Mytilus edulis: one gene and its partners. The protein of the gene in region 1 purifies or fractionates together with the protein of each later gene. This does not show direct contact. Links are inferred from orthologs where the notes say so. Each region holds a gene or a part of one and is shown in the gene's direction. Other genes may lie near its edges. The genes, in order: E3 ubiquitin-protein ligase UBR5-like, transcription factor Sox-2-like, centrosomal protein of 78 kDa-like and dual specificity tyrosine-phosphorylation-regulated kinase 2-like.

The links.
Region 2: the proteins of E3 ubiquitin-protein ligase UBR5-like (region 1) and transcription factor Sox-2-like purify together in Homo sapiens (affinity purification with western blotting; 3 studies listed by BioGRID and IntAct, with this or other methods). This does not show direct contact. The link is inferred for Mytilus edulis from reciprocal best matches to the Homo sapiens genes UBR5 and SOX2.
Region 3: the proteins of E3 ubiquitin-protein ligase UBR5-like (region 1) and centrosomal protein of 78 kDa-like purify together in Homo sapiens (affinity purification with western blotting; 3 studies listed by BioGRID, with this or other methods). This does not show direct contact. The link is inferred for Mytilus edulis from reciprocal best matches to the Homo sapiens genes UBR5 and CEP78.
Region 4: the proteins of E3 ubiquitin-protein ligase UBR5-like (region 1) and dual specificity tyrosine-phosphorylation-regulated kinase 2-like purify together in Homo sapiens (affinity purification with western blotting; 3 studies listed by BioGRID and IntAct, with this or other methods). This does not show direct contact. The link is inferred for Mytilus edulis from reciprocal best matches to the Homo sapiens genes UBR5 and DYRK2.

The regions. Positions count from the first base shown.
Region 1 is NC_092355.1:19,654,616-19,662,156, reverse strand, and holds the start of E3 ubiquitin-protein ligase UBR5-like, read left to right. Parts: upstream 1-4,541; 5' UTR 4,542-4,662; coding exon 4,663-4,724; intron 4,725-7,541. Other genes in the region: sialin-like, read right to left, coding at 663-822. UniProt on the Homo sapiens protein: E3 ubiquitin-protein ligase involved in different protein quality control pathways in the cytoplasm and nucleus. Mainly acts as a ubiquitin chain elongator that extends pre-ubiquitinated substrates.
Region 2 is NC_092346.1:79,535,553-79,543,145, forward strand, and holds the start of transcription factor Sox-2-like, read left to right. Parts: upstream 1-4,580; 5' UTR 4,581-6,023; coding exon 6,024-6,986; 3' UTR 6,987-7,593. UniProt on the Homo sapiens protein: Transcription factor that forms a trimeric complex with OCT4 on DNA and controls the expression of a number of genes involved in embryonic development such as YES1, FGF4, UTF1 and ZFP206. Binds to the proximal enhancer region of NANOG.
Region 3 is NC_092354.1:21,995,476-22,002,892, reverse strand, and holds the start of centrosomal protein of 78 kDa-like, read left to right. Parts: upstream 1-4,413; 5' UTR 4,414-4,526; intron 4,527-7,407; 5' UTR 7,408-7,417. UniProt on the Homo sapiens protein: Centriole wall protein that localizes to mature centrioles and regulates centriole and cilia biogenesis. Involved in centrosome duplication: required for efficient PLK4 centrosomal localization and PLK4-induced overduplication of centrioles.
Region 4 is NC_092344.1:83,552,012-83,559,457, reverse strand, and holds the start of dual specificity tyrosine-phosphorylation-regulated kinase 2-like, read left to right. Parts: upstream 1-4,427; 5' UTR 4,428-4,679; coding exon 4,680-6,389; 3' UTR 6,390-7,446. UniProt on the Homo sapiens protein: Serine/threonine-protein kinase involved in the regulation of the mitotic cell cycle, cell proliferation, apoptosis, organization of the cytoskeleton and neurite outgrowth. Functions in part via its role in ubiquitin-dependent proteasomal protein degradation.

The DNA.
Region 1 (7,541 bases):
TGAAACATAAATGTAAAATTATTGTTCTGCATTTTCTTTCCTTATAGTTTTGATTACTTTTATCACCGGTATATATGTATTACATGATCTATGAAAATAAGATGTTCAGATATAAATTAACATACTGATAAAAGAGTATTTTTTGCCTGGGAGCAATCCATGCCATTACACATGAATCAGTCTATGGATGTTTTATGTTATTTGTGAAACATAAGCATATTTTTTCAAGACACATTGTTTTTATAGACATGAATGAATATTAAGAAATATCTGTTGCTGAAAGCTAAAACAAGTACATGTAGCTATAGTAATTAATAAATAATAAATAAAGCAGAAACCATTTGCTTAAACTTTTCAAAATTACATACATGTTTGTACCATCACTATGTATAATATTAAAACAATGTACAGTCACTACCTAAAATTAAAAGGGGCATAACTCTAAAAAGGTTAAAGTTCAAATTTCGAACTTATTCTGTCTGTAATAGTAATAATCATTGTGTATAATTTATATAACATTTGGTTAAGGCAAACAAAAGTTAGAGAACAGAAACCAACGTTGGAACCTACGGACAGAAGCTTAAACGGACAAGGGTAAATCTTAATGCCCCTCCACTATAGCAGGGGCATAAAAACATATCTAACTACAACATTTAACTCACAAAAGCCCAGGAATGCCATTATTGCCACAATATATCTCTTTGGAAACCTTGACAAAGCCCATTGCCTTGGACAGACATCATGACTTTCTTCTGCAGGAGGTAGAATTGATCTTTTCTCTGATGAACTGTCACTTCTAAGGTTTCCATCATGACTTTCCATACTTCTGTAAAACGACAATACATGTTATTGCTTAATATCTTGATTGGGTATCAGGGATGATTCCACTATATTGTTTAGGGCGGCTTAGCGGCCCCAAAAAAATGTACATGAAAATGAATTCCCAATTCAGGAAAGTAAAATAAAAATCGATATTTCAGGAAAAGTTTCTGTCACCAATTAAGGCAACTATAATTTTTTATATATAGTTTGTTGTCAAAACATTTTAAAATCCGGATAAGAATGCTGTTTACGATCGCATCTTAGTAACAACGATTTAATTACATGTATGTCAACATGTGGGAAACAATTTTAGCAGCCGAATACAATTGATTAATATGTTATGGGACTTTTGGATCTTGTAAAAGCAGATCGCCCAGCAGGTTGATAAAAATTGGTGTCAAAGCAGACCTCGGCAGAGAGCAAATTCAAATTTTGATATAACATTGATGGATAAGGTTAAATGGACGCCGATCTTGTAAAAGCAGTTCACCCAGCAGAGCCGGTTATATAATATGATGAAAACTTGTTTTGTAACAGAAATTATTTCCTCAAAAGACCACAGTTTGAGCGTTTTTTGAAAATAATGTTGATGATAGAATATTCATGAAATATGATGTCATCATTATTGAACTATTTCAAAAGTTTTGAAGATGATCCAAATAATTTTAAAGAACACTGGTTCAATGCTTTAAATATCTTATCAATTAAGTATATGAACTTTTGTAATTGCTTTTCTGAATTCGACAATTGACCAGTTCAATTTGAAATCCATTTGAATTAAGGTAAATTTATAGAGATGACCTGTTGTTGAAAAAATACCTGATGAATGATTTTTTTCAGTGGTTTATGTTAGCTGAAATATATGTTTTTGTAATAGGCCTAGGTAACTATAGCTAAGATGATAGACTAGTGCATCATGTTCAATGATATTTATGTAATAACAGTCATGTGACAGTAGCCCAACCAGAATTATTAAAAATGTTACAACTTACATGAACATCAGTGTACAGGTTAAACTTAATAATATACATTTTCTGTTTTTCAGGAAAATAATGTTATTTCGTCTTAGATTTTATGCTTAAAAAATTCCCAATTAGAATAAAAATTCCCAATTTGATGTTCAAGGGACCCATTTGAAAACACCTGGAATCATCCCTGGGTATGAGACCTAATGTGTTATTACATATATATAGTTATATTTCTATATTTAAATATAAACTTTTTGCTACCTCTTTGTACCTAAGTATCTGCAATGTGGGTCTCATTGGGGTCTAAGCGTGACGCGGGATTGCCAATTTTTTGTAAGCGTGACACATGAAAGTCAAATTATTGTGTCGTGAAAACGGTAAATGAGGTCTAGCAGGACTCGGGAAATGACAAAAAAATGAGAATTGCTTACGTACATAGTGTAAGCTGGATACAGGAATCGGACAAAACGGTAAGCGGGATCCGGGATCGGAACCCCCAAAGAGACCCCCTGCAATGATTATGAGAATAAAGATATTGGTATTGGCTAGTTTCCCATTGTCATTAAAAATGAATTTACCTCCTAAAGTTAATCTCTAACTACAGGATCAATTATAGTTATTGGCAAATAGACTAGCAAACCATCAGACTATATTAACCAGTGTGTGCCTGTCTCAAGTCAGGAGCCTGAAACTCAATGGTTGAATTTGTTGCTGTGTAGCACATTTGTTTTTCATTCATTATTCCCTACATGTACATACATGACATAAATTAGACATGAGTGAATTATTTTATCATGTTTATTCTGACTGTGTGGTATGGGCTTTGCTAATTTTTGAAGGTTGTAGAGAGTCATTTAGTTGTTAATTTCTGTGTCAATTGGACTCATGTTTAGAGTAGAATCATTGGTAATCATACCATATCTTCTTACTTTTTTATATCAATGTTAATTCCAGCCTTCAGACACTTTTTCATTACTTAGAATACAAATTTAAATTTTTTTGTTTTGAGAAAAACACCCATGATTGGACAGGATAACAATGGACTCAAGCTAATAAAGCTGCCAATATATACGACACTTTAATAAAGAATTATCATCAAAAACATTTGAGGTTTGGGTTAATTTTATATAACTAATTTTGTTATTCAACCTCTCCTTTAAAAATCCTGAATCTTCCCCAAGCTTCAACACAAACTTAATTTTCTATTTATCATTTACCCATACAAAGGGTATGATGCCTGAAGTATAGTCATTCACAAAAATTGTAATCATTAGTCATCTAAGACTGTATATTCTGTATATAAGACTTTATAGTCTGTAAGCATGATCATGATGATTATTTGCAACTGCTGAACATATCAGAAATTACATTTTAAAGACTGATTGATTAATTGTTTGTTGCTTTACATACAGTGGCAAATATTTTATGCATATTCAGGATGATTTTAATGTATACCCTATCATGCCCATGCCAGTCAGAAATGTCAAATAAAGAAATGCAGCTTTTAAAATACAACCTCCAATAGAAACTACATGAAGATTATGTACCCAGTATATAATCTCCTCCAGATTGTTACGCTTATTCTGGAATATGTGCAGCTCAATACAATTAGACAGATATCCTATTGAAATTGTATTTCTACTATATCATGAACATGTATCTTCTGAAAATCAGATCTCAACTCTCTGCAATGCAGAATTTATTCTTCTGATCTGCATTCGATGGAAATTCAAATTCAAATTCTTCAGTCAAACAAAAACGTATGTTAGACTTATCTAGCCAGATTTACCATTTGACAGCTTGACATGTCTATAAATTATGTTAAGGTTCATCATAACAAATGGACAAATATGGCCGAATTTTCACCTCAAAAACTTCTCTGTGTACAGACTTACCTGTGCTGTTTGGAAAGATTTAATGCCTAGCATCCACTAGATATATAAAACTTAAATGCATTTTGTGTTTAGGAAAGATAAAATCTTTCTTGGTTTTTGATGGGCATTTTTTTTCCTTTCTGCAGAAGGTGTAAAAATAAACAAACACCTGAATTACTTTGATACTGTCCACTGACTGACTCAGATAAACTCTTTAACTCACCTATAGTTGTGAAGATACCTCTAGTCCATGTCAATTAAGGACAATCAAACAATACAAACCGGTTTTTTTACCTGAGGGAGCATCTCATAGTTGTACTACAACTTAGTTAATTTTCACACCTTTTGCATGAAGGAAAAAAAATGCCCATCAAAATCCAAAAGAGATTTTATCTTTCTGAAACACAAAATGCATTTAACTTTATTATATCTAGTGGATGCCAGGCATTAAAACTTTTCCAACTTCACAGGTAAGTCTGTACTCAGAGTAATTTTTGGCATGTAAATACAGCCATATTTGTTTGTTTGTTATGATGAACCTTAATGACGAACAACAACAGCATATGTCCACTATTTATCAACTTTCTTGCAAGATTTTTTTCATTTGAAGAAAAGAAGTGGAATTTGAAAATGTTAATCAGGTCCCTGTGTTATGATTTGTTTGTAAATAACAAAAAACATATGTAACATGAGTTATGAAATAATATGCAGTAAACTGAAACTGAAAGCACCTGTTACTTACAATGTTATCGGAATAACCTCTAACTTTCAGCCCTAGTATTAAGTACAAATCCGAAAGTTTGAATGCCGAAAAACTATAAAAATACTACCCAATCGGAACCAATGACAGTAAATATGTTTTAACCAATCGTATTTCAGGTAACAATTGACTTATGGAAATTTCTTCAAAGATGGCGAAGATCAATTAACTTTTAAAATCGGAATAAATTTCATAAAATTTCCAGTAAAAAGATAATAATTTATATTTTTAATACGTGATGACATCCATTCATTGTATAGTCCATCCTTTACCTGGAACAGATGACCAGTTGAACGATAGGTAATTGATTTATTCGTACTTGGGCTGTGGTACTTCGAGATAAAAGAAACGATCAAATATTTAATAAACGTGCTCTTTATCGCGTTACGGTATTCTGACGTCACTGTAAATTACGCATCGAAATCAATTGCAACTGTTAGATTAATGCCTTATGTGCCCTGAAATTATTTAACACAAGCCAAATGTTTTGTTTCATTAAATGTATTAATCGTTTATGATTGGGCTGATGTGACAAATGTGACCTACATGTATATGCTCTTTTTGTAGACATGAAGAATTTTAATATATTTCTCAAATAAATGGTTAAAAATTTATACAAAAAGCAACAACAAAAATGAAATCAATATTTGAACCTGACATAAGCTGTTTCTCATCACCATGACTTCTGGAATTCTTTCATCATTGTTCTTTGTCTTTTTTAGTTTTTAAATTTTATGTCAGAGCTCCAATTTTTTTATTTATTTTTTTTCTTGCAAATTATCCCAATTATTTCATACTTCATACTGCTGAATTGATTTCAAACTAAATATGGTTTAATTTGTGTAAATAAATTTGGCAATTTACCAATTATGCTTATTCAATCAATTTCAAGTAACAGGCCTCGACAATAATGCATGCCAATTGTCCGGTACCAGAGGTAAAAAAGGTCGGACAAGTAAAAGCTATACCAAGCTTGTCCGATGGGACAAGTAGAATCATTCTGCAGAAAATAAATCAACTTTGATGAACAAAGTATAATTATTAACAAAAAAAACAAGAAAAGAAGATTTGTTTGACATCTTTCCTTTTTAAACTGAAACTAATTGAAACTTTCTATTTCTCAAGACTCAGACTTGCAATCGATAATTTAAAACTGGTTCTTTGTCAAGTACTTTTAACAGGTAAAAAGCACACTTTTCTCGGAAACCAGTCTTACCATCCCATTCAACCATGCGCTTTTTAGATACAGAGATAAGGTAACTTTAAAAAACAGTTCGTCACCAGCTCTGAAATGATTCGGCTCCAAGTTTAATAGACAGTTGGGTACGGTAGGAGACATATTTCATAGACATGATTAATAGACAGTTTGGCGAGGCAGTAGACATTTCTGGACCAAGACAAATCAGAACCTCTTTTCCTACCTTATTTTGTTGCTTTATAATAATATATACCAATGTCCATACCGTATTTTTTAAATAAGAATGAGGAAATTTATTATTTACCATAAAAATCATCAAATCATGTTTGATCTTTATGTAGAAAAAACAATACTTGCAATGCAGTGACCTATAGTTGTTAATTTCTGTGTCATTTGGTCTTTTGTCTCATTGACAATCATACCTCAAATTCTTTTTATTGATTGCATTTGAATAAACTTTTTTCAACTTTTAAAAAAATAGGATAAAAATCCAATGAGTGTACATTTAGAGGCCAATCAGATGGTGCCTCATGTGCAAAGTATGATGAGACTTTAGCATTGATAAAAGCTAGAACCTAAGTCGTGTGACACACCTAAATTCAGTTGTTCATGGCTCATATCTTTTAAAAGTATTTCAAAGGATAAAAATCAAATTCTGTTCAATTTTTTTTTAATTCATTTTGTTCCTTGAATCAACTTGAAATGCAAAAAAGGTTATTTAATATTAAGATTTTTTTTTGGACAAGTTACAATTTCATTCGGACAAGTAAAAGTTTTGGTATGTACTTGTCCTACTGGACAAGTTGAAAAAAAAGTTATTGTAGAGGCCTGAGTAACATAAAATTCAAAGTGTTGAAGGTTGTCACTACAAAGTAGAAGGAAAAGTAATCATGGTCATGTTTGTGGGAATTGTTTATTTATGCTTTGCTTAGTCCCCATATGTTTCCACCAGTAGTATTTACTACATGTACAGCCCTCAATTTAGTCTACTGAAATGGTTGCCTGGGCGGCTTTAAAAGCTGATTGGTGATAAAAAAAATTCATAACTGGTCACCATTTAGGCTTAGTATTAGAATATTGAAAATCTGGCGACCTTAAATTTTTCGGAAATTTTGCCCTGATCAGAGCTGGTTTTTTAAAAAATAGTCTGAGCGCTAGACAGTAACACAAATGAATACTATATTTCAAGAGCCTTTTAGATTTAAGCTTGATCTTGTCAGCGCTTAATTGCATCAGGTAATTGTAGTTCATTTGGTAGCAATTTGTTGTCGACTGAATATGGCACAGATCTATCTATCTTCATATTTCCGCACTCAGTCACAAGTTTGACTATTGCATACCATTTGAAAGAAAACCCTTGGAATTTATAGATTGTGTTAATTGAAAGCACATGGTAGAGCCTCGTTCTTAATTTCGTCAGTAAACTAATGTAAACAATGTCGGCGACAATTTTGTAATTTGTCCTTATAGAGTCAATAAAATACTGGCTACAACTACAAAACGATTTCAGATGTTCACTTGACTGATGGGGCAATCACAAGTGCTTCTGCACAAGTCTGATGAGATTTTTACTAGTCTGGGGCTTCAAACTACTGGTTAACATCGCAGACTGATTTAAAACATGTACAACAAATATAAAATTAAATAAATCATGTGGTTATTTTACGGTGGATTTATACAAACAATTTTCTACACTAGACAGCAAAAAAACGTAATACTTTTAATTTACAAGCCTGTTTTTGTGTAAATAGAAAAAATTGTAGGCAACTTGAAATTATTTCCTGGCCACTGAAGTTTTGACTATGTTTGAGTTGGCCACTAAATTTTCATGTCTGGTGGCCAGTTGGCAACTTCATTTTAGAGGCTACTTTGAGGGCTGATATATACACACAATGTCAAGATATAAAAATTTTAGACAA
Region 2 (7,593 bases), on another chromosome or scaffold:
AAATCTTTTTAATTATAGGAAATACTGTTTGTTTGTTTTAGGATACAAAAGATAAAATGTGATATGCTTTTATAAAATCTAATGTTAAAATGGAGAATGAGGAAAATTTAATGATTTGAACTCTTGGTAAGTTTTATAATTAGATGTTTACTTTTCCTGTCGTGATTGAAATCGATATTAGCTCAATCAGAAACTGACATTCGCCTTAGAGTATGTTTTTTTACATCTTGGCACCAGGTGTGAAATCTGACATTGGTGTACATGTCTCGATATAAATCGCAACGCTGCAAGAAAAACTGTCACCGTGTGCATGTAAACTGATACTCTAGAACTAATCAGTTTATTTTTTTGATTTTTTTTTAACACGGTAGAATTTACTATGCCATGAGAGTGAAGCTTGCATAAGAGCAACCGTGTTTACATCAGGAAACAAGTCCCAGAATTTCCGTATAAAATAATCACTTTCATGCATATAGTGGACATCAGTAAAGCGATATGATGCATTTGGTTTATAATTACCCTAGAGATGTTGAAAATTAAATTTAAGAATGTTCAAAACTTTAGTTTATTTTGTTGATCCAAGATGGCGACGATAAATTTGCTGGCTTAACCTTTTACGTAGTATTTCACGGACGACTGCTTTGCTTTGTATCTATTTGGAAAAATACTTAACTATGTTTGTACATGTCATTACAGAAGCGTTTAAATTTCTTCTTTCTGTCTAGAATATTTGTTAAATATAAGCCATTTTTGAATTTGAACATACAAAAGTACTCTTCTATTTTGATACTTTCGTTGAAGATAAGACCTTACATTTCAATACATTTGTTAAAATGTTATCATTCTATCAAAAAGTACACTTATAATACACACTTTAAAATATATGTGATTTGAAAAAAGTTCACCATCTAAGGGTTGTGTATAAATCTTATAAGCTATTTATATTTAGTACTCTCATACCAAAATAGAGCAAATTTATATATATAAAAAAAAATATAGGGCTATCAGTTATTGAAAGAATTCTATATTTACTGCGTTAATTTTTGTAAACTTAAAATATTTGTAAAAGACATTTTCGTATATATTTTTTTTTTACAAATTGTGTATATATATATATATATATATATAAATGTTTAATCCCGTGAGCAATGCATTACCCGGTACAGAGAAAAACACATTTTTATAAGTTTTACATCAGTTTTCGTTAATGAATGTATATTGTATTTATATTAAAAAGAAGTCTGCCAGATATGAGGCAATTTTGAAATAATTAAGCATATCTTAATTAATTCGCGACAACTGTCTATACTATATATGAGTATTATTTTCTGGAAGTAATTTTTGATTCTTGGCAATAATTTTCAGATGTTTAATAATTATGTAAACAACTCGGACCCGTGTCATGTAACTTTTCGGTGTACATTTTGTTTTATCAGAACAATCAAGCAATCGTTTGAACAGAAAAACTTAATTAGATTCCAATCTCAGATTTGTCACCTTGTTTATATGAGAACCACTGGAAGGTAGAAAAATAGTGTAAAATAAAGAGAAAAAATGCCGTTAGTTGTGAATGATAATTTAGTTCTTTTCTACTTCCAATTAAATTGTACCTCACACCTATGAAAATAGACATATACTCTACGACCTGGAATTCAATTAATTTTCACCCTGTTTGTTTCCTGTCATTCATTAATTTGATAATTGAAGGAACTTTTTACCTTAATTTTCCGGGGGGTTCCTACCGAGATGTACCCGTTAATTAGACTAAATCAATTAATCGCATCCGCTTTCTACTATTGTCATATATAATTCCATTTTCACTTTCCGTTTATATGACAAAACGAGGATGTCAAGCGATTATCACTGAAAATAAAGATTATTTGGCTTGGCACATACATCAAGATGTCGCCAATTTATAAAATTCAAACTTAAAAATCAAAAAAGAAATGGAACTGTTTTGATATGGCCGATCATATATTAATCCTCAATATACACGATTCACATTGTACCTTCATATTACACGATTAGAAAATAATATGTCGCAGTAATATTTAAATAAATTCCACACTCTCCATAGCAATAATTTTAAAGCTTCTAAAGGAAGCAAGAAACAAAAAACAAAACCAGAAGAAAAACAACTTCTTTGATTCAAATACAATGTGCTTCTTTAATATATAAGGAGAATTTTAGGGGGAAAATGAAGTAAACGGACGAAAAAGTTAGAAGTATGAATTTTAATTGATATAATTAATCTAAATGATATTGAATAGTCTAGATAATAATTAAATAAGTATCATATTCATATAATGCATGTCACTGGAAAAAACCATCCGCCTCTAATCAAATAACTACATAGGTTAGATGATAAACTAAGGGAAAACTCATTTAGAATGAACAAATGAATAAAATACTGCTTCTGGGAAAATCATAGTGTTTTAAGAATTATGAAATATCGTTTAAACAGAATTACAGTATAGGTTAAATTATGATGATCATTTGGTATTTTCTGTTATTACAAATTTATGACATACAAGTATTTCCAGGTTTAACAACACCAAAAGTAGATGAAAACTGATCGGTTGTGTTTTATTATTTATTTTACCTCTTTTCTAACAAATCAAAATAAATTAAAGTTGTTTTTATGATTATTCCAAAATAAAACTTTACGATTGTTTAAATGTTGTTAAATTTAGATTGTTTTTGATTTAATGAAAAATACCAAGATTGTCACGAAAAACAATAAAATCTTGTATTTGACACTACCTATAATACTAAAATTAAGGTCCAATTCTTCAGGTGTGGAATGTATTACACAGTTTATACTTATTGCCGATTCTTTGATCTCAATTTTCACATATGAAAAGGAAAAGTTTCTCAGCTGACTCACTTTTAGTTGACCGAAGTAATTAACGAACATTGTGTTTAGATCCCCCATTTCTTTATATCTCGTTGACAACGCACGATGCCTAGGATTTAAGAACAATGTAAAGGATAAAACCCTTAATCCTCTGCTTTCTCTACTTGGCGATGGGGGTAAATTTCATAAACTATTGATAAAACTATTCTATAACACGTGCAAATGTTTGTTTCAACTTATTCTTACTTACCATATACAGCTGAATTATTTATATAGCAAATACAAAGTAGAAATAAAGTCAAAATATAATATTTGATAAATATTTTAGGATTATATTTTGAAGTTTCATTTTCTTATGTTTACCCCTATAAATGCAGAACTCTTATTGCAAATATTTCATTTTTGTTACGTTTACCCCAATATATGCAGAACTCTTATTGCAAACATTTCTTTTTTGTTATGTTTTACCACAATATATACGGAACTCTTATTGCAAACATTACATTTTTGTTATGTTTTACCACAATATATGCGGAACTGTTATTGCAAATATTTCATTTTTGTTAAGTTTTACCCCAATATATGCGGAACTCTTATTGCAAACATTTCATTTTTGTTATGTTTTACCACAATATATGTGGTACTCTTATTGCAAACATTTCATTTTCGTATGTTTTATCTGAATATATGTGGTACTCTTATTGCAAACAATTAAGATCAAAGCTGGTACGCATTTCAACAAGTAGATCATAACACACACGTCCTAAACTAAGGTAAAAAGCCCGTGTAAATGTTTATATTTTTAAATGTGGGTCAATTCCTTAATTTTTAATTGTATCATTGTCCTCACGGCCAAGGTCAGAGTAGAACTAGACGTTTTTGATTCCTCTTTTGACCAAATTACAATGGCCATTCAATGTTCTATTGTTTGCCTTTCTCAATACTATAGATATAAAATACAATACAAAAATGTAATTGAAACCTTTTATAACATGTATACAAATGTATATCAAAAGAAATAAATACTTTATCCCTTTTACTCTTATATAAAGAGTTACTTTTGTATACATCGAATGATATTTATATTTGCGGGCAATTAAACACGCTGTTTATAAAAGCAGTAAACAAATTTACCGTTACCGTCTTTAAATGAATAGAACAATTCCAAAGAAAGAGAAATCTGTTACAAAATATTTAAAAAGCAGGTAAGAGATTTTTTTTTGCATGTAGAAATTTGAAAAATTGCAGCTTTTAGTGATAATACTATATCTTTTAAAAAGAGGTCAGTTGGCCGTAATTTGGAAAGAAACCAGAGATGTTTTTAACAAATGTAAAGTCACGCGTATAGCAGCATTTCTGTTTGTGATGTTTGTGATGTTTGTTACATTATGAATTATACAGGACATTATACAATAATGTTAGAATGGTGGTTACAGATGTAACAACATGTTAAAAGATTTACTTATAGAAATGATAAAAACCTAGGTTTAGTCTGCCATGCATGGCTTTGTTTTGGTTAGATGCTACACACATAAGACTTGTCAATGTTTCTCCCGTACTGGTAAAAAATATCTACGTTTTAGTAGAATCGCTTCTGTCTTTTATATCATTTGTTAGATTTTTAAGTTACAGATTTGAAACAAATTTACAAATTTAGGGGTCTGAGGTTTATGGCACATACTGCGCAAGTCCCCTTCGTTCTAAAATAGAGATAATAATGATAATAATAAAACAATAATGTGAATGATAATAAATTAAAAAAAAGATGTTTGTTTATGTTTTCAAAAAAGTTTATCGTAAACAGTGGACCTGATTTGATTCTGCAAAACTTTGGGGGGGGGGGATCAAATTTACACTACTGTCTTAATTCAACGGTGGTTGAGTTAACCATATTAATTTATAGTGGTTTGGGGAAAAAGTTATTGAAACTTATATAAATCCCTTCCCACTTTGCGGGTGCAAGTGCTGCCTTGTTGCGACATAGCCTGCTCTATTCTGAAATCTACAACGCTGGTTTTGCCTCCATATCACTGAAAATTTAAATAAACAACAAAATAACAAAACAAATTCAATGCAATTCTTTTTTTAAAATTTGTTATTTTTTTTTCTAGTCTGTTTAATTGTCTTTCATTTTATACTGTATAGATAACATGCTTCTCCGCCACCCGTCCGCAAGAGCTTCCAACACGCTTCTGGGTAAGAATAAGATGATGTTTATTTTCTATCAATCAGGGCGCAAAATACAATAAGAATTCAAATCTAGATTCTTCATAATAAATTAGTATTTTATAATCAGATGCTGATTTTTTTTTTTACATCAATACTAACTGCTGAAATTTTAATTATCGACAGATAAGCTGTTAGTCCTTGCTTGCTATAAAAGTGTCTGTATCGCCAACTGAAGTGAGATTTCTTATTAAAGAGTCTCTGCCCCCCTTTTTATCTCGGTTTTCAATTTGAAACCATAAAACTATAATTAGAAGAAAAAGGGCTCTTTTCATTATTTATTTTATCATTATGAATTTTTTTTTAATATAATGACATTGGACAGAGATTGGACTGTTGTACTATTTCAGGTCCACGTTTAAATGCGTTAGAAAAAATACAATTATTCCCAAATCATTACACAAAATTTTATTATTTTTTTAATGAGTAACTTGAATTTTATATTTATTAAAATATTTTGAAATGTAATGAAATATAAAAATAACAACACCTGTAAAAAAAATTCTAACGGATAATTTTTCATCTGCATGTCAATATTAGACCATGCCCACTTTTCACGACATGAGCGATTCTCAACATGATTGAATTCACTCAATTGTTTGGATACGACAATAAACTTTACCTGCGAAGTCCCGCCCACTTTTTAATATTACCGTGAATAACTCGCCAAAACCAAGAAAGAACTAATTTGATTGGACGGGGCAGTGTCTATTTTTCACTGACGAATCGATATCCCTTGTTTAGTAAACCGTATTAGCCAAAAGAATAAGAAGAAGTCGAAATTATAAGACCTGTTTTATAGTTTGGTAGTGAAAGCCGTATTGAGATTTATCATTTATTGGACTTGAACTTATTCAAAAGCTATTGACTATCTTCAGTTATTATAATCAGTGTATTGGACTTGTATAAAGCACGTGGAACACTGTTCAAATTTTATAGTATGGATAGTGACTTATCTAAACAGGGACCAACTACAACTTTACCACCAGCATCACAAGGAATGCATGTGCCAGTTACTGGAGGTATGAACATGCATCAACATCCATCGCAACAACAAGTACATTCTCCTCCATCTCCGGACATGAATGGACAACACAACAATAACAACAATGGTCTTGGTAACAAGAAAGCTGACGATCGTGTGAAAAGGCCCATGAACGCTTTTATGGTGTGGTCTCGTGGTCAGCGAAGGAAAATGGCCCAGGAAAATCCTAAAATGCATAATTCTGAAATTAGTAAGAGACTTGGTGCTGAATGGAAATTGTTATCCGAATCCGAAAAGCGTCCGTTCATAGATGAAGCTAAACGTCTTCGAGCAATTCACATGAAGGATCATCCTGATTACAAGTACAGACCGCGCAGGAAAACAAAGACCCTCATGAAGAAAGACAAGTACGCTTTACCCGGTATGCCCGGCAGTGGAGGACAGCTGCAGTCTGATCCAAACAGAATGTATCCCGGAATGAATGGATATATGCCGAATGGATATCCTATGAACATGATGCACGATCCAAATGCCTATCATATGGCAAATCAAATGGGACTAGCTCAGTATGGCAATTATTCTATTCCAGCTCAACAAATGTCTGCTAATCAGATGACATCCGCATCATATATGAATGGGACCTCAAACTACACAATGTCCGTAGGAATGAATCCGTATTCTATGTCTCCATCACAGGTTCCTCCGTCCGTAAAAAGGGAACCAAATCAACCACAAGTTCCAGGACAACCCCGTCAAGCAGGAGATTTACGGGAAATGATTAGTATGTATTTACCGGGAGATGCCAACGATCCAAATAGTGCCGCTGCTCACCATAGACTTATGCAACAACATTATCAGCAAACGGCGTCATCGGAAGCTGCAGGGGTAAATAACACTGTGCCACTGACACATATGTAATATTTTCTGTTTTTTTAATTTGTTTTACAAATTTGTGCTGCGAGAGAAAACATTATATTTCCCATTATATATATATTGTTTATCATTTTTACATTGTTGAATGAATGAACGTCGAAATCCATGACATTTGTAAGACTGTATAGCATGTTTGAAAAGCAGACAAATCGAATGAGACGAGCGCGTGCGTGTGTGAATGTTTATTTGAGTTATATGGTGCGAATTTTGCAAAAAAAATGTGCTGAAATTATTGAAAATAGATCTATATAATTTTATTACAATCATTACAGAAGTGAACAACTTATTTATACACGAACTGTTGAAACGAGATAATTTTGTAGAATATATTTAGCATAATAAGTCGGATTCGAAATTCGCCAAACAAATTTAGGGAAATTTTCCACACATATATATATTTGCTCACGGTAAATTCAATTTTCTTGAAGTAGGTTTGTAAGTATGATTAGATTTTGTTTTGTTTATGTATTAAATCGTGGTAATGTTCCGTATATATTTTTATGTTTAAAATTTAATTTTTAAATATATTTCAACTTTATGTGGCTCTAGGTTTATATGGTAAAATGATTTTGTTTGAACTAAACCAAACTAC
Region 3 (7,417 bases), on another chromosome or scaffold:
ATGCTTGTACCCACAATTAAATAGCATCTCAAAGCATATACATGTATCTTCACAGAATATTTTTTTTAGATGTGCTTTCTACAAATCAACCCAGGTCAACCAGGGTAGTTCATTCAGTCTGCACCGTTAGCCACTAGTCCGATGCCCCAGTCTAGTAAATATTAATTCGGACTGGTGAAAATTTTCTATAGTCTTATAGGGACAAGTTTTGATATTTAGTGTCCGGACTAGTAGATGAAAAAGTTTTGGGTGCAGACTGTTCATTAAATCAAAGCACCAAAGGGTGCTATAGGCAGTTAATCAAAAACCCAACGGCAAACTTGGCCACGTTCAGATGAATAGTGTAAAGAATTAGTCAAAATATTTATCTCAGGCATTGTTCTCAGCTATTTCTAAAGTACCAAATAATGCTTGTACAGTAATGTTTATGTTATGCAATCCTACCACTTTCAAAAGTTATTTCCAATTTATATTTATAAAGATTCAATGTCTGAGATTATACACATACACTGTCCTATGTTAGGGGAGAGGTTTGTGCCAGTTAAGATGTTTAAGCCGCCACATTCTGTATGTACCTGTCCATAGTGAGGACCCAGTGACTAGTGTGGTGATTGTAGCTGTATATCATATTTATTTTTCATAATTGTTTTGTACATTTTTTTTAATTTTATTAATTTCTTGTGTATACATCTGATTTTAGTATGATGACCAAGTTATTGTAAATGCTCTTTTGTTGCGAGGTTGGAAAGTTCCAGGCGGAAAGAACTAGCTAGCCGAAAAGTTCTCCGGAACTTATTAACTACATTGTAGTTACTTTGTTCTTCCTCTGGTTTAAAAAGTTCCACCGGAACAAGTGACTAGTTCAAATAGTTTACATTTTTGTTATTACGTTAAGGGGCCAGCAAAAGCAATCCTTTGGGTGTTGGAGTTTCTCCCTGCAGTAAAGATCCATTGGTAACCTTCGACTGTTGTCTGCTCTAAGATCTGGTTATTGTCTCTATGACACATTCCCCATTTTCACCATGTTCAGTGTTCTCCCCAGGATTTTTGGATAGCACCAGGGTAACGCGTGACGAAATGAATTTTACAATATTTTGAGTCGCGTTGCGTCGCTTATTTTTTTCTTGTTGGTTTTTGTCATTACCTTTTTGCCTTTGTTTTGTTTACTGTGGTACTGTGTTGTATGGACTTTGGGTCAGAACATTATTGGTAGAAAAAGTAAATCAATATAACAGTTTTTATACTTTAATATCTTACTTCTTATATTTGGATCAAGCCATTTTGTCCCAATACTTGAAGTTACACTACACATTCCCCATGTTAGATTTGACCATAACAATGAACTTTGAACAAGATTAATTTTTGTTACAGAACCATCAGTAAATTGAAACCTACTTTCCATTCTTTTTAACAACAGTTTTTTTTATTTTTTTTATGCATCTTAGTTATTATTTTAAAAGTTTAAGTTTATAAATACTTAATTTCAATTGTATTAGTAATTCTAAACTCACATTCCTGTGAAGTTTAGGCACAAGATGCTTTTTTATCAATGACCCATGTGAAGTAAAAGTCTATTTAATATAAAATTACAAAATGTCTGTGTATCAATAAAGGTATCATTCTCTAAAATAATTTGCAAAACATTTTCGTTGGTATCTTCTAAGATTTTTTTTATCCTTAATGTAACATTCTAATATAATTTTGCATTTAATTTGTGCTTTATTTTAATTTTCAATGAGAAATTATATGTGAGGAGCATTTATTTGTAATAAGCAAAATCAGGGGAAATAACTCCACAATTAATTTCTATAACAGTCAAATTATTTTGACTAAAAGACTGGCGTAAAAGAGTTCATTCACAAATGTCTGCTTGTCCCCTATTACAAGTCTGTTATTAAAATTATGATCTCTTAATTAATTAAAACACAAGAGAATCATGTACATCGATTAAATCCAATCATCAATGTTAACCTCAACAGGTAAATCGATCACGTGGTGTAAACAATCTACCTATCAATACTGGATTAAACTGGTTAGAACTGGTCAATTTTCATGTAAAATTTTAACCCTCACTGAAAGTTGAAGTCATTTGAAACTTTACCGATTTTAATACGAATTTTTTACCGAAAACTTTAGCACCACGGAGAAAATTTATACATCGCGGCAAGAACGATACCACCGCGGTAGAAAATTATACATCGCGGGCCCGTGGTCCTTTAAGGGCCTGGGGAGAACACTGCATGTTCACTCTCAATTTTTTTTACGTCTCAAATTATAACTGAATTAAAATATATCTTGATTACGGTTTAACTGTCTTCCATTACTAATATCATAATAAAAAAAACACATGTATTTAAACTTTCAATAACTGTAATAGTAGGAATTAAGAAAAACTTGTTTGTAACTTCAACTTGTTGAAAACATATTAAAACATTTCTCGAGCCTCGTTAGTCGTTACCTTTTTATTGTATCATGCGATTTCTTTTCATATTATTTTCATGGGGAAATCGTTTGCCAGCATAAAGTTGCTGAAGGAACCGCATAGAATTGATTCAATAACACTTAACGAGTGTTTAAATGTGAAAAATTATAAAAAAAAAAAACATTTAAAAAAGTCGTATTTTTCTGTACCGGAAATCGAAAAGTCCTTGTAAATTAAAAACAATTACGGTGTGATACGCGTCACAGATTCGGACTTAATATTTTACAAAATATGCGACTTTGAAGTTAAATAATGCCGTCCTTTAGAAAACAATTGTTAAAGTTTTAATCACAATATTTATTGAAGCACATATTGAGCTTAATCAAAGCACGTGTAGCATTATGTTACATTGTTCACAAAAGCGAAACAATCTTAAAATGACCTTGACATCGACCAATCAGAAAACTACAATAACAATAACTTAATTTGACAAGCATGAAGGTCATTTGCGAGAAATCGGAATAATATTAACAAGAAAACAAATGAGCATACGTTTAAGATTACTGAATAAAGACGATTTAAATAATCTCAATCATTTCAGACAAAAAAACGAATAAAATGATTAATAATGATGTACCTATGTTTCATCAGAATTCTCCCAATTTTAAAAGGTACGTAAATTTCGTCTTCTATGTAATTTGAAATTGCCGCCAACTTATATCAGCTGATTAATAGACTACTGACGTATGAAATACGTATCGATGATCAACAATATTCCTACGACTTTTGCCATATGGGAAATGTAAACGACTCATCTTTATAGATTTTCGGCGATCAAATATTTCATACAATTGATCTTTGACATCTTAGCCAACAGCACAGTGGATAATAAACTATAGAAGGAATTTTATCGAGCACTACTTCCTATGTGCAACTTCAAAACTTTTGGGAAAATCGACGACCAGTTAACGTTTTTATGGTAATATTTTTTTATATTCCAAATAAAAAGTATGAAAAAAGTGTCCAATTAGTTATAAATAACATGATAGCCAGTCAGATAATAAAAGTGGCACATATTTCAGCATTTATTGGGTAGAACATAAATCTAGGGTGCTCGCATAAAGCAGCTTAACTGCTTAAAAATTACATCAAAACTTGTCTACAACATGTAGTTTAACAATATACCTTATCACTATTTGGAAATCTTTGCTGCTTTACCCAAGAATGGCAAGAATCTGTGCTACCTTAACTATTGGCGTCATACAATCACTTTTACATTGTAACATTAGATAAATTCTATTGTTACGTCAAAAATTTATGAGAACCTTTGTGATGACTAGGTATGTGGGACAAATAGCGCTAAGGTGTACTATAGTGAGTGTATACAACTTCTCGCTATTTCCGGCTGACCATTGCTGACCGGAAAAGCTGTCCCGCTTCGTAAACTTTTGCATCATACACTAAGACTTTTCCATTGTGGCGTCAGATCTTTTGATTTATGACGTCAAAATATTATGGGAACATGTGTGATGTCCAGTACAGGCGGACAAATAACGATAAGGTTTATTCATACATTGAATTGTATTTGTAGATAAAGTCAAAGAATAAACTAAAGGCTTCAGGCAGATGGGCGTGTGACTACTTGTATGTAAGAATATACATCAACTAACACTGGCAACTGAATGAAAACATGATTAAATCTTCGACTTTTGATAATAGATTATTAGTGTCATACTAAAATCTTGAACAATGGTAGCTAATATATTTCATCCCCCCTTTTTGTTGCTAAAAACCAAGCTTTTCTTCAAATTTGTCATTCTGCCTAAAAAAAGCAACCACTACGGAACTTTCACTAAAGATTTCTTGCTTAATTTACCTACTAAATTATGTTTCTTCGTTTCTTTTAAGTCTTTTAGCAATGATACTTCCTTCTCAAAAGATCTATTTTCGATTTTGTGAGAATTTTCTAGACGAACGTGCTTGTTATCGGAAGTGACGTCAGATGGTTATGGAAGTTACAATGGATTCTGGGATGTAAACTAATAATCAGCGCCACTAACCTTTTATTTTGAAAGCGAAAAACTTCTGTTATTTGTGATGAATGGTAAATTATCTATCTTGTCACGAAGTCTAGTGATAAAATATCAGAGGAACAACTTTGAAAATATCGTAAAATGGCTAAAATCGGCGCATAGCATGTCAATCTCCGAAATGTTCTGTTAGATCTTGCAAAACTGGGACGAGTACCGGCATGTTTTGTTTTGATTTTGCAATTTTTCAATGTTTGTAACTGTCTTTGTATTTATACTCTAATAGACAAAGTTATAAAGAAATTATAATATGTGTGCATTCAAAAGTTTTCTTTAAAGTACATGAAGTATACAAAATGTTAAAAAGCTTACAACATACATGTACAACCCTAAATAATTTATGAGGGGGATAGGTATCAGGTTCGTTTGTGCCTAATACACTTTCGCACCTCGCATGTTTGCACCCAAGGTCCGTTCGTACCCAATTTTCAATAAAATTCCAGTTGAATAATTAGAAAATGAAGATTGTTGTTTTTAATTGATTTGATGTAAATACTGCATGTATTTAGCTTGGTATGAGTAAAAACATTGAAGATTTCAAATGAAAAACACAAAAGATTTTATTAAACAGCTTATAGGCCCCTTTGATCTGAAACAATGAAACAAAAAATCATAGCAATGCACTAACCAAAAAATGATTAGAATTTATTCAACACAAAAAAATATGTGGCCTTTGTTAGTCTTGTATGATTTTTAATTTTTGTTTTTGTGTATAATTCAGAGTTTAGTATGACGTCCATTATCACTGTACTAGTATACATATTTTTAGGGGCCAGCTGAAGGACACCTACGGGTGCTGGAATTCTCGCTACATTGAAGACCCATTGGTGGCCTTCGGCTGTTGTCTGCTCTATGGTCGGGTTGTTGTCGCTTTGACACATTCCACATTTCCTTTCTCAATTTTATGTTGTTATAGTCACTCTTTATTTTGAAACAATGAAATAAAAGTTAGCAATACACTTAACCAAAACAAGATTAAGATTTATTCAACACAAAAAAACATGTCTCACTTTAATTTAGGACAATGACAACAAATATACTCATAGGAATACACTTGCCAAAACTTGATTACAAAGTTATTAAACACAAAACCAATAGAAATTGAGCGCGAACGTGTAGGGAGCGAAAGTGAAAGGGGGCGAACGTGAATGGGCGCGAATGGACCCAGATTCATGGGGATAGGACCTTTATCAGGAATTTCGTGATCAGGTGTTTTTAAGCTCAGGTTTTTGAGATTGACCCCTTTCAACATTAAGGAATTCTTTTTTCGAAATTCGGGATGTCAGGATTTAACATGTTTAAATTTATTTAAATTCAGGATTTCCGGATCAAGACCCCTCCTACCCCCCTCATTTATAGTCTATAGCTTGACAGGTTTATTGACAATGTCATTTATATGTTTACCACATCTTTTGTCTAAATAGTTATGTCTTGGAAGGCTATTTTATTTTTTTGCATTGATGGGTATGACTACATCATGTACATAGGAATAAAAAAATATAAAAATAATTACATGAGACAGCATGATAAACTGGAAGAGTACCACTTAAAGCGACATTGCTATATACAATATATATGCCCCCCATCCCATGCTATTTCAGTCCATAAAATCACATTAAAAATCATCAGAAAAATGTCCTCAATTTTAAAGCCTGATTGCACCATTGGTATACACCTTATAGCTACAGTGAAACCTGTTTAAACCGAACCTCTTTGGGACTTAAGATTTTCTTCGGTTTTGGCCGATGTTCGGTTTTATCAGGTTTTCAGCGCACATAATTTGATATGATGGTGCTTATGAACATGTTTGGTTTATACAGGTTTTCGGTTTATACAGGATTCGGTTTAGTCAGGTTTTACTGTATTTGGAAATCTGTCTTGATTGACATAAAAATCAGTTCCACTTGAACTATTGACGTCATACAACAATAACTTTTCTATTGTGGCGTCAGATGTTTTTTATTATGACTTAGAATTTTACGGAATGGAGGACACATAACGATAAGGTCTTTTGTACATCCAGTGTTTGCAATAAAGTTTCTAAATTTTTTTTTAAATCGAGAGTTTACGACAACACTTACCTTTATCAACTGTTACCAACCGGTCCCTATTTCTGTTCAGTTGTTTAATATGCATCTTTTGAATAGATTATTAATACATGTATATATGTTTAATGGTAAATATTTCATAATTGATCTTGTTTGATACAAGGAATATATGTACATGTATATGTCACTCTGATCTATTTGCGAAAAAAATAAATATTTCTTGACAAACTTAATGGTTTTGTTTGGAGGTAGCTTATAATTTCAAATCTCTTTACTAGGAAAATAGCTTTTCCCATGTTTGAAAAGTGAGACACATTTCACTGAATCATGAATTTAAGCCATCCTTGATGTTTGATGTGCCAAGTTTTGCTGTTGTTTTTTCCCTTATAAAGCTTCTCTGTCAAAAAATAAATCCATAGTAGAGAGAGAAAAAAAAGGAGAGTTGTCTCCATTTGGTAAAGTGAGAGAAGGAAAATAACTCTACAGAACATAAGGGAGATAACTCTTCAGGACATAAGGGAGATAACCCTTCTGGAGAGAAGGGAAATAACTCTACAGAACATAAGGGAAATAACTCTTCAGGACATAAGGGAGATAACCCTTCAGGAGAGAAGGGAAATAACTCTACAGAACATAAGGGAGATAACTCTTCAGGACATAAGGGAGATAACCCTTCTGGAGAGAAGGGAAATAACTCTACAGAACATAAGGGAAATAACTCTTTCTTTGGTAAATTGTTTGAAGAATATTATAGTGAATTCAGTGTTAAAAAAAGTATAAGAAATACTTTAAATAAATGTTCACAAAATATTTCTATCAGTAATAAGATTTCTCATTTCTATTTTAGGTGACTAAAG
Region 4 (7,446 bases), on another chromosome or scaffold:
AAATCTATGAAATTTTGACACAAGGTTTATGACCACAAAAGATAGGTTGGGATTGATTTTGGGAGTTTTGGTTCCAACAGTTTAGGAATTAGGGGCAAAAAAAGGGCCCAAATAAGCATTATTCTTGGTTTTCGCACAATAACTTTAGTTTAAGTAAATAGAAATCTATGAAATTTAAACACAAGGTTTATGACCATAAAAGGAAGGTTGGTATTGATTTTGGGAGTTTTGGTCCCTACAGTTTAGGAATAAAGGGCCCAAAGGTTCCAAATTAAACTTTGTTTGATTTCATCAAAAATTGAATAATTGGGGTTCTTTGGTATGCCGAATCTAACTGTGTATGCAGATTCTTAATTTTTGGTCCCGTTTTCAAATTGGTCTACATTAAGGTCCAAAGGGTCCAAAATTAAACTTAGTTTGATTTTAACAAAAATTGAATCCTGGGGGTTGTTTGATATGCTGAATTTAGAAATGTACTTAGATTTTTAATTATTGGCCTAGTTTTCAAGTTGGTCCAAATGGGGGTCCAAAATTAAACTTTGTTCATCAAAAATTGAATAAATGGGTTCTTTGATATGCCAAATCTAACTGTGTATGTAGATTCTTAATTTTTGGTCCAGTTTTCAAATGGTCTACATTAAGGTCCAAAGGGTCCAAATTAAACTAAGTTTGATTTTAACAAAAATTAAATTCTTGGACTTATTTGATATGCTTTATCTAAATATGTACTTTGATTTTTGATTATGGGCCCAGTTTTCAAGTTGGTCCAAATCAGGATTCCATATCAAGTATTGCACAATAGCAAGAAATATCTAATTGCACAATATTGTGCAATAGCAATTAATTTTCAATTGGAGTTATCTTTCTTTGTATAGAATAGAAGTTGATAATATATGTTGGAAATTTGCCAGACATGACTATGATGTCATTTTCTATTTTTATTTGCCAATAACTTTATGTAAATAACTTCATTGGAAATTTGCCAATATAAAATGTTGCTGATGAAGCTTTTTTTCCTTATCTTATCTAAAATGTTTTTAGATAATGTATGTTGGACATTTGCCAGACATGACTATGATGTCATTTTCTATTTTTATTTGCCAATAACTTTATGTAAATAACTTCATTGGAAATTTGCCAATATAAAATGTTGCTGATGAAGTTTTTTTTATTGTTTTATACAATAAACAATGTATATTCACTTTTACTACCAACCAATCTTTACCATTCAGTGATAACAAGCACTTTATTTTACATTTTAATATTTTATGATGTATTTAAAAGAGTAGTTATTGTTGCAAACTCCATTAGAAATTGGAATTGATATCAGTTTTGGAAAAAGGGAAACGGGGATGTGAAAAAAAAAGGGGGGGGTTAAATTTTTCTCATTTCAGATTTCATAAATAAAAAGAAAATTTCTTCAAACATTTTTTTGAGAGGATTAATATTCAACAGCATAGTGAATTGCTCAAAGGCAAAAAAAATATTTTAAGTTCATTAGACCACATTCATTCTGTGTCAGAAACCTATGCTGTGTCAACTATTTAATTGGTTTTTATATTGACAACATGTATATATAGAGAACTTTTAAAGGACGAATGACTATGTGACCAGAATAATTAGATCTACAAGTTATTTGACTTTAAGTTAGCAGATATCTTCAAATTACCCTTTAAAAGAATAATTACCTATACATGATGATTTTTAACATTTTGCATTATTTTGGTAACTATAGTTAAGAGAGAGAATTTTAACAAAATAGGATCTTCAAATTAGTCAACATGGAAGAATCGTCAATTGATTGCTTATAGGAGTTGTTGACCTTGAAAGTTGTTCATTTTTCATTTTTTACAAAAAAAACATTACAGATAGAGCAAGATCTTAAGCACGATATAAAGATCTACAAATAAGCCAAGATTATCGAAATTGTCAACAGATTCCGTCTAGACGTTATTGCCCCTGAAGACCATATTTACCTGTTTTATAAATACATGTCATGATTGCAGACGCAAATATCGAGGACATCAATACTTAATTAGAACAAAATCTTCCTAAAAAATATGATATTCAAACGATTAAATGTAGGCAGTGGCTATTTTGCCGGCTCCGAATGAAATCGTCAATTAACCTCAAATAGAAGTTATTCGCTCCTTTATATCTAATAAAGAATTGGATGTCTGCCGATGTTTTGTATTGTAACCAAATCAGAGTTGATGATTTTTTTTACAAAGTGAGAGGTTTAGCTAGCCATAAAACAAGGTTGAATCCAACATTTACTATATATAAGGAAATGCCTGTACCAAGGAATATGACAGTTGTTTTCCATTGCCTGGTTTGAGTTTTTGGTCTTACCACTTTGTAGAAGCCTAATTTGCATGGTTGTGGTTGATTTCTCGTCCCACGTTGTTGTGTACTACATATATAGCTTTCTATGGTGTTCTTTCCTGACGACTGAAGATATATTAGAGAAGGTCGTTTGTCATTTAATCTGATTAATCTATTAGGTGATTGTAGTAGAATTTAATGCTTGGTTTATTTCTAATGTTGCTTAATTGTGGCTTCTAGATTTGCTCTGTGTTGCAACTGTGGCAGATGTTTATATTTTATTGTACCAATTGTGTTGGTATTTGATTAGCTGATTTTTGTTGTTGACTGTTCGAGTAAAAGATAGTAGGAACAACTATTGAATACTAGTAATTCCACGTTTTGTTTGTGTTATTTGGATGAATTATATAGATATACTTAGGAAGATGTGGTGTGAGTGCCAATGAGACAACTCTCCATCCAAATAACGATTTAAAAAAGTAAACCATTATAGGTCAATGTACGACCTTCAACACGGAGCCTTGGCTCACCCTGGACAACAAGCTATAACGGTCTTGTTTTAATTAATCATGTCTGTTGCGTATTCCTGATCTGAAGCATTCATTGGATGGTCTACCCTTATACCAAGGAATTGTATATTTAAATATACCGCCCTTTTTTTGACGATCAATGCATTTGAATGGGGACATGTAGTTGAAACCCCCCCCCCCTTTTTGTCCTTTGTTAGGACCCCCTTTTAAAATGGCTTGATCCGCCCTTGATATCCATCATGTCTAGGCCTATATAATATTACAAAAAAATGCAATGATTAAGCTGGGACTACTAGTTCAGCGAATTTATATATTTCGATTTTTTGGCATAATATGATATGAAACTTTTATCCACGTGCTTTTATCACAAATGCAGTTATTTCAGTCTGGGAATAGTCACTTTGATTTTCACAAATACTTATATCATTATATGTTTGATATGTATGTTTATTGTGTTATTATATGTTGGTCACAAACTGTAAAGTTTATACGACAAATATTTGATTTGATTGATTTGATTATACAAAATATTTCGCAAATGTACAATATAGTATCACGGTGCCAGTTTTATTTATTTGTTAAATTGTATATTTGTTGACTCTTTTGTATATTATGTTTGCATTTTAATCCGTCAGGGTTTTACTTTTTTTACAGTACAGAATTTATATATGATTTTTACAATTATTCAAGTAGCCTTAGAAGTGGCTACCAATGATATATTTTTTTATATATATTCTGTGAACAGTTTTTTTAATATATATGTTCCTAATATGTTCATTAATATTTCATTTGATATTAAAGGGGCACTAGCTACGATATATATAAAAAAATAAAGTATGATTTTTTTTAGATCAATCATTAATCAAATTGGAATAATGAAATAATAATTTGCTTTTAGCAATCAATTTCCTTTAATTTTGTTGAAATAAGCGATTACACATAATTTTTGACTGATTCACTTGCAAGTGAAAACGTCATCATCATTCTAACCGGTATTCATGTGAACTTCAAGTTAACCCCTAGCTAGAGATTGACAACGCATGCATTGTACGTGTACTGGTTATTTAAAGAAAAAGAATGTCAACAATGAAAGTGAAACTACGGTAAATCATTTGATTACTAATTCGATGCACATAAATTCATTCTTATATGGTTAAAAACAATGAGAAACATCTATTTTTAATCTATAAAATAAAATCAAACAGACCTATAAAAATGCAATTGCACGTGTTGGTTTAATCTATTCGTATCTTTATTTTTGTTTACATCGCTTATATGGTCATCTGAGGTCAAATCGATAGTTAATTAGATGGCGTCTGGACTAAAATACACACGAAACGAACCTATATATTATCTACCCCATGCTCTGTAAACTGTTTATTTTAGACTTTTGATAGTTTGGATAAATGTTTTACATTGTTATAAACCAAATATGAGAATTTGAGTCAAATCGGTTACAATGAATTTGACAGCTAGTGCCCCTTTAATATAAAATGTTTTATCCAATATACTCGTGTGTTTCGTTTTGTAAAAATTACAAGTAAAATGTATTGATTTCTTTTCTGTGCACATGTGACCACAGTTTCCATGACGTCATAGACACTGCACAACTGGGTCGTGCTTGGCAACCGATCCTCCATACTGTCTTAAAAAATAGCAACAGATGTGTTTTTGGGATATAATTTGATGCCAGACAGTAATTCTACATTTCATTGACCATGTAAACAACAAATTTGAGGTGAGATCATTGAATGATTAACAAATGAAGACAAAATTGGTCTCCAGGCAAAATCTCAGGGTCATAAACAATCAGGAGGGGGGAAAATGTCGACACGAGTCAAACCCCTGCCAATTCAACCACTCTCGGTTCAAAGAACAAGGTCTATGCTGACCACTGGCGACATGTATTCTCATCAAACAACAATAGATCCAGCCCAACATTTACCACCCCTTACAAGTCAAACTGTAGGGGGTGGTGCCCATAGTGCCCACATAGCGAGTGGCGTGAAGGTACAGCAGTTATACGAAGACCACAAACATCACTCGCATTCAAAACATCATGGACAGCATACAGGAGATTCATCTAAAGATTCCAACGTTGTAGCACGTCCTAGTTCAAGTGCAGGAAGTATTGGGAGCAAAGGTGGTTCCGCAGCGCGACGTAACACCGCATGGAGTCCAGAATCGGCAATGAAACAGTTTATGCATAAATTGACATCTTTTGAGCATCATGAAATCTTTAATTTTCCGTCTGTCTTTTTCGTGGGACAAAATGCAAAGAAAAGGCAAGGTGTTGTAGGAGGTGCAAACAATAATGGTTATGATGATGATCAAGGCTCCTATATTCATGTGCCACATGATCATATAGCATATCGGTATGAAGTATTAAAAGTAATAGGAAAAGGTAGCTTCGGTCAAGTAGTAAAAGCTTATGATCATAAAGTAGCTCAGCACATTGCATTGAAAATGGTTCGTAATGAAAAACGCTTTCACCGACAAGCACAAGAAGAAATTAGAATTTTAGAGCACCTTAAAAAGCAAGACAAGGACAATACTATGAACATAGTTCATATGTTAGAACATTTTTCATTCCGTAATCACATTTGTATTACATTTGAATTACTTAGTATGAACTTGTATGAACTCATTAAGAAAAATAAATTCCAGGGATTCAGTTTACAACTCGTTAGAAAGTTTGCTCACTCAATTTTGCAGTGTTTAGATGCATTGTACAAAAATAGAATCATTCATTGTGACCTTAAACCAGAGAACATTCTTTTGAAACAACAGGGTCGTAGTGGAATTAAAGTAATAGACTTTGGTTCAAGTTGTTATGAACATCAACGTATATACACATACATTCAGTCTAGGTTTTATAGAGCACCTGAAGTGATTCTTGGTGCAAAGTATGGAATGCCTATAGATATGTGGAGTTTAGGATGTATCTTAGCAGAATTGTTAACTGGATATCCAATGTTTCCAGGAGAAGATGAAGGTGATCAATTAGCTTGCATTGTTGAATTGAATGGCATGCCACCCCAAAAGTTATTGGATCAGTCAAAGAGAGCACGTAATTTTATCAGTTCAAAAGGTTATCCAAGATACTGTACAGTTACAACATTACCTGATGGCAGCACTGTACTGAATGGTGGACGGTCAAGAAGGGGAAAACCTAGAGGTCCACCAAATAGTAAAGATCTGGTAACTGCATTGAAAGGATGTGAAGATCCGTTGTTTTCGGATTTTATGAAGAGATGTTTAGATTGGGATCCATCAACCCGAATGACCCCAGGTCAGGCATTGCGACATCCGTGGTTGAGACGAAGGTTGCCAAAACCACCACCAAATGAAGTAAGAACCGACTCTGCTTCACGAAGGAAGACATCAACAGCTAATACTGCAAGTGTAATAATTTCAAAAGGGCCACAAAGTGGAAATTCAAGTAGCAAAGGGCGAAACCCAGTAACTTATGATGAAATGTCGGCTCCGATGCCCCCACGAACAAAACTGCCACAAATAGGATCAACAACGTAGAGATTATCGTTTACAAGTATTGTGATGCAAATTTTGTGAATTGCCGTCCAAAATTTCTTGATCTAGTGTTTTAACAGATCATCATGCACCCTAAATTTATTGCCTGATGTTCAGTAATAAATGATTGTGTGATTCACTTTATATTCTGGAAAGCCAAATTCTGTTCAAGGTTGAAAGTCTTCAAGTATATTATATGCACTAGTATAACTGAACAAGTCTGGAGTATTTATGTCCGTAGATATAATCGTGTGTGTGCATGAAAATGATATATAGTAACTGAAACAGTTTCTTTTACTTGTTGAGTCTTTGGATAGTGTCGAGAGATGTGCTTCATCAGAAAAATCCAGGAGTTTTTATTCAATATAAGCCTTTCTGTGATCAGCATTGTTATTTTAACATTTTGACTGGAGGCTGTATTTATTTGAAACCATGTGATGTGTACTGTGAGTGCTACTTTGATAATTAATAATTTATTTTTGAATGTCTTGTCTCAGAGTGTTATAAGGCTCTTATTTTTCTTTTAATATCTCATTTTATAAAAATATTTTGGATTATGATGAAATGTATTGAGGTGATCAACATGTATTTGGTGAAAAAGAAACACCCAAATAATTCTTCAACTTCCTGAATAAAAGAAATGTTGTTGTCACTACATGCATAGAGAAAATTTAAATTACAAACAAAACAAGTATTGTCATTGTGTAACTAAACACCACTGTCTTAATTGAACCTATTTTGTATTTTTATTTTATAATATGTTGGTGTAATCATAACCATAATAACTAAGTATTGTCAACCTGACCCAGGAAACTTTGAAATGTGATTTTTTGAAAAGAATGAGCTTAAATTTTCCCCCAGATATACTATTCTAGGTATTTCCTCAAATGACGACAGGCAAAATAATAAAATGCAGTGAAATATTTGGCATTGTTAAACACCTTTTATATTGTTAGCTTTTGAATGGGTTATCCCGATATGTATACATTTGATTCAATTATATCTTTTTGCCCTTTCTATAATACCTGTACATGTATGCAGTAATTAAAAAAACTTTACT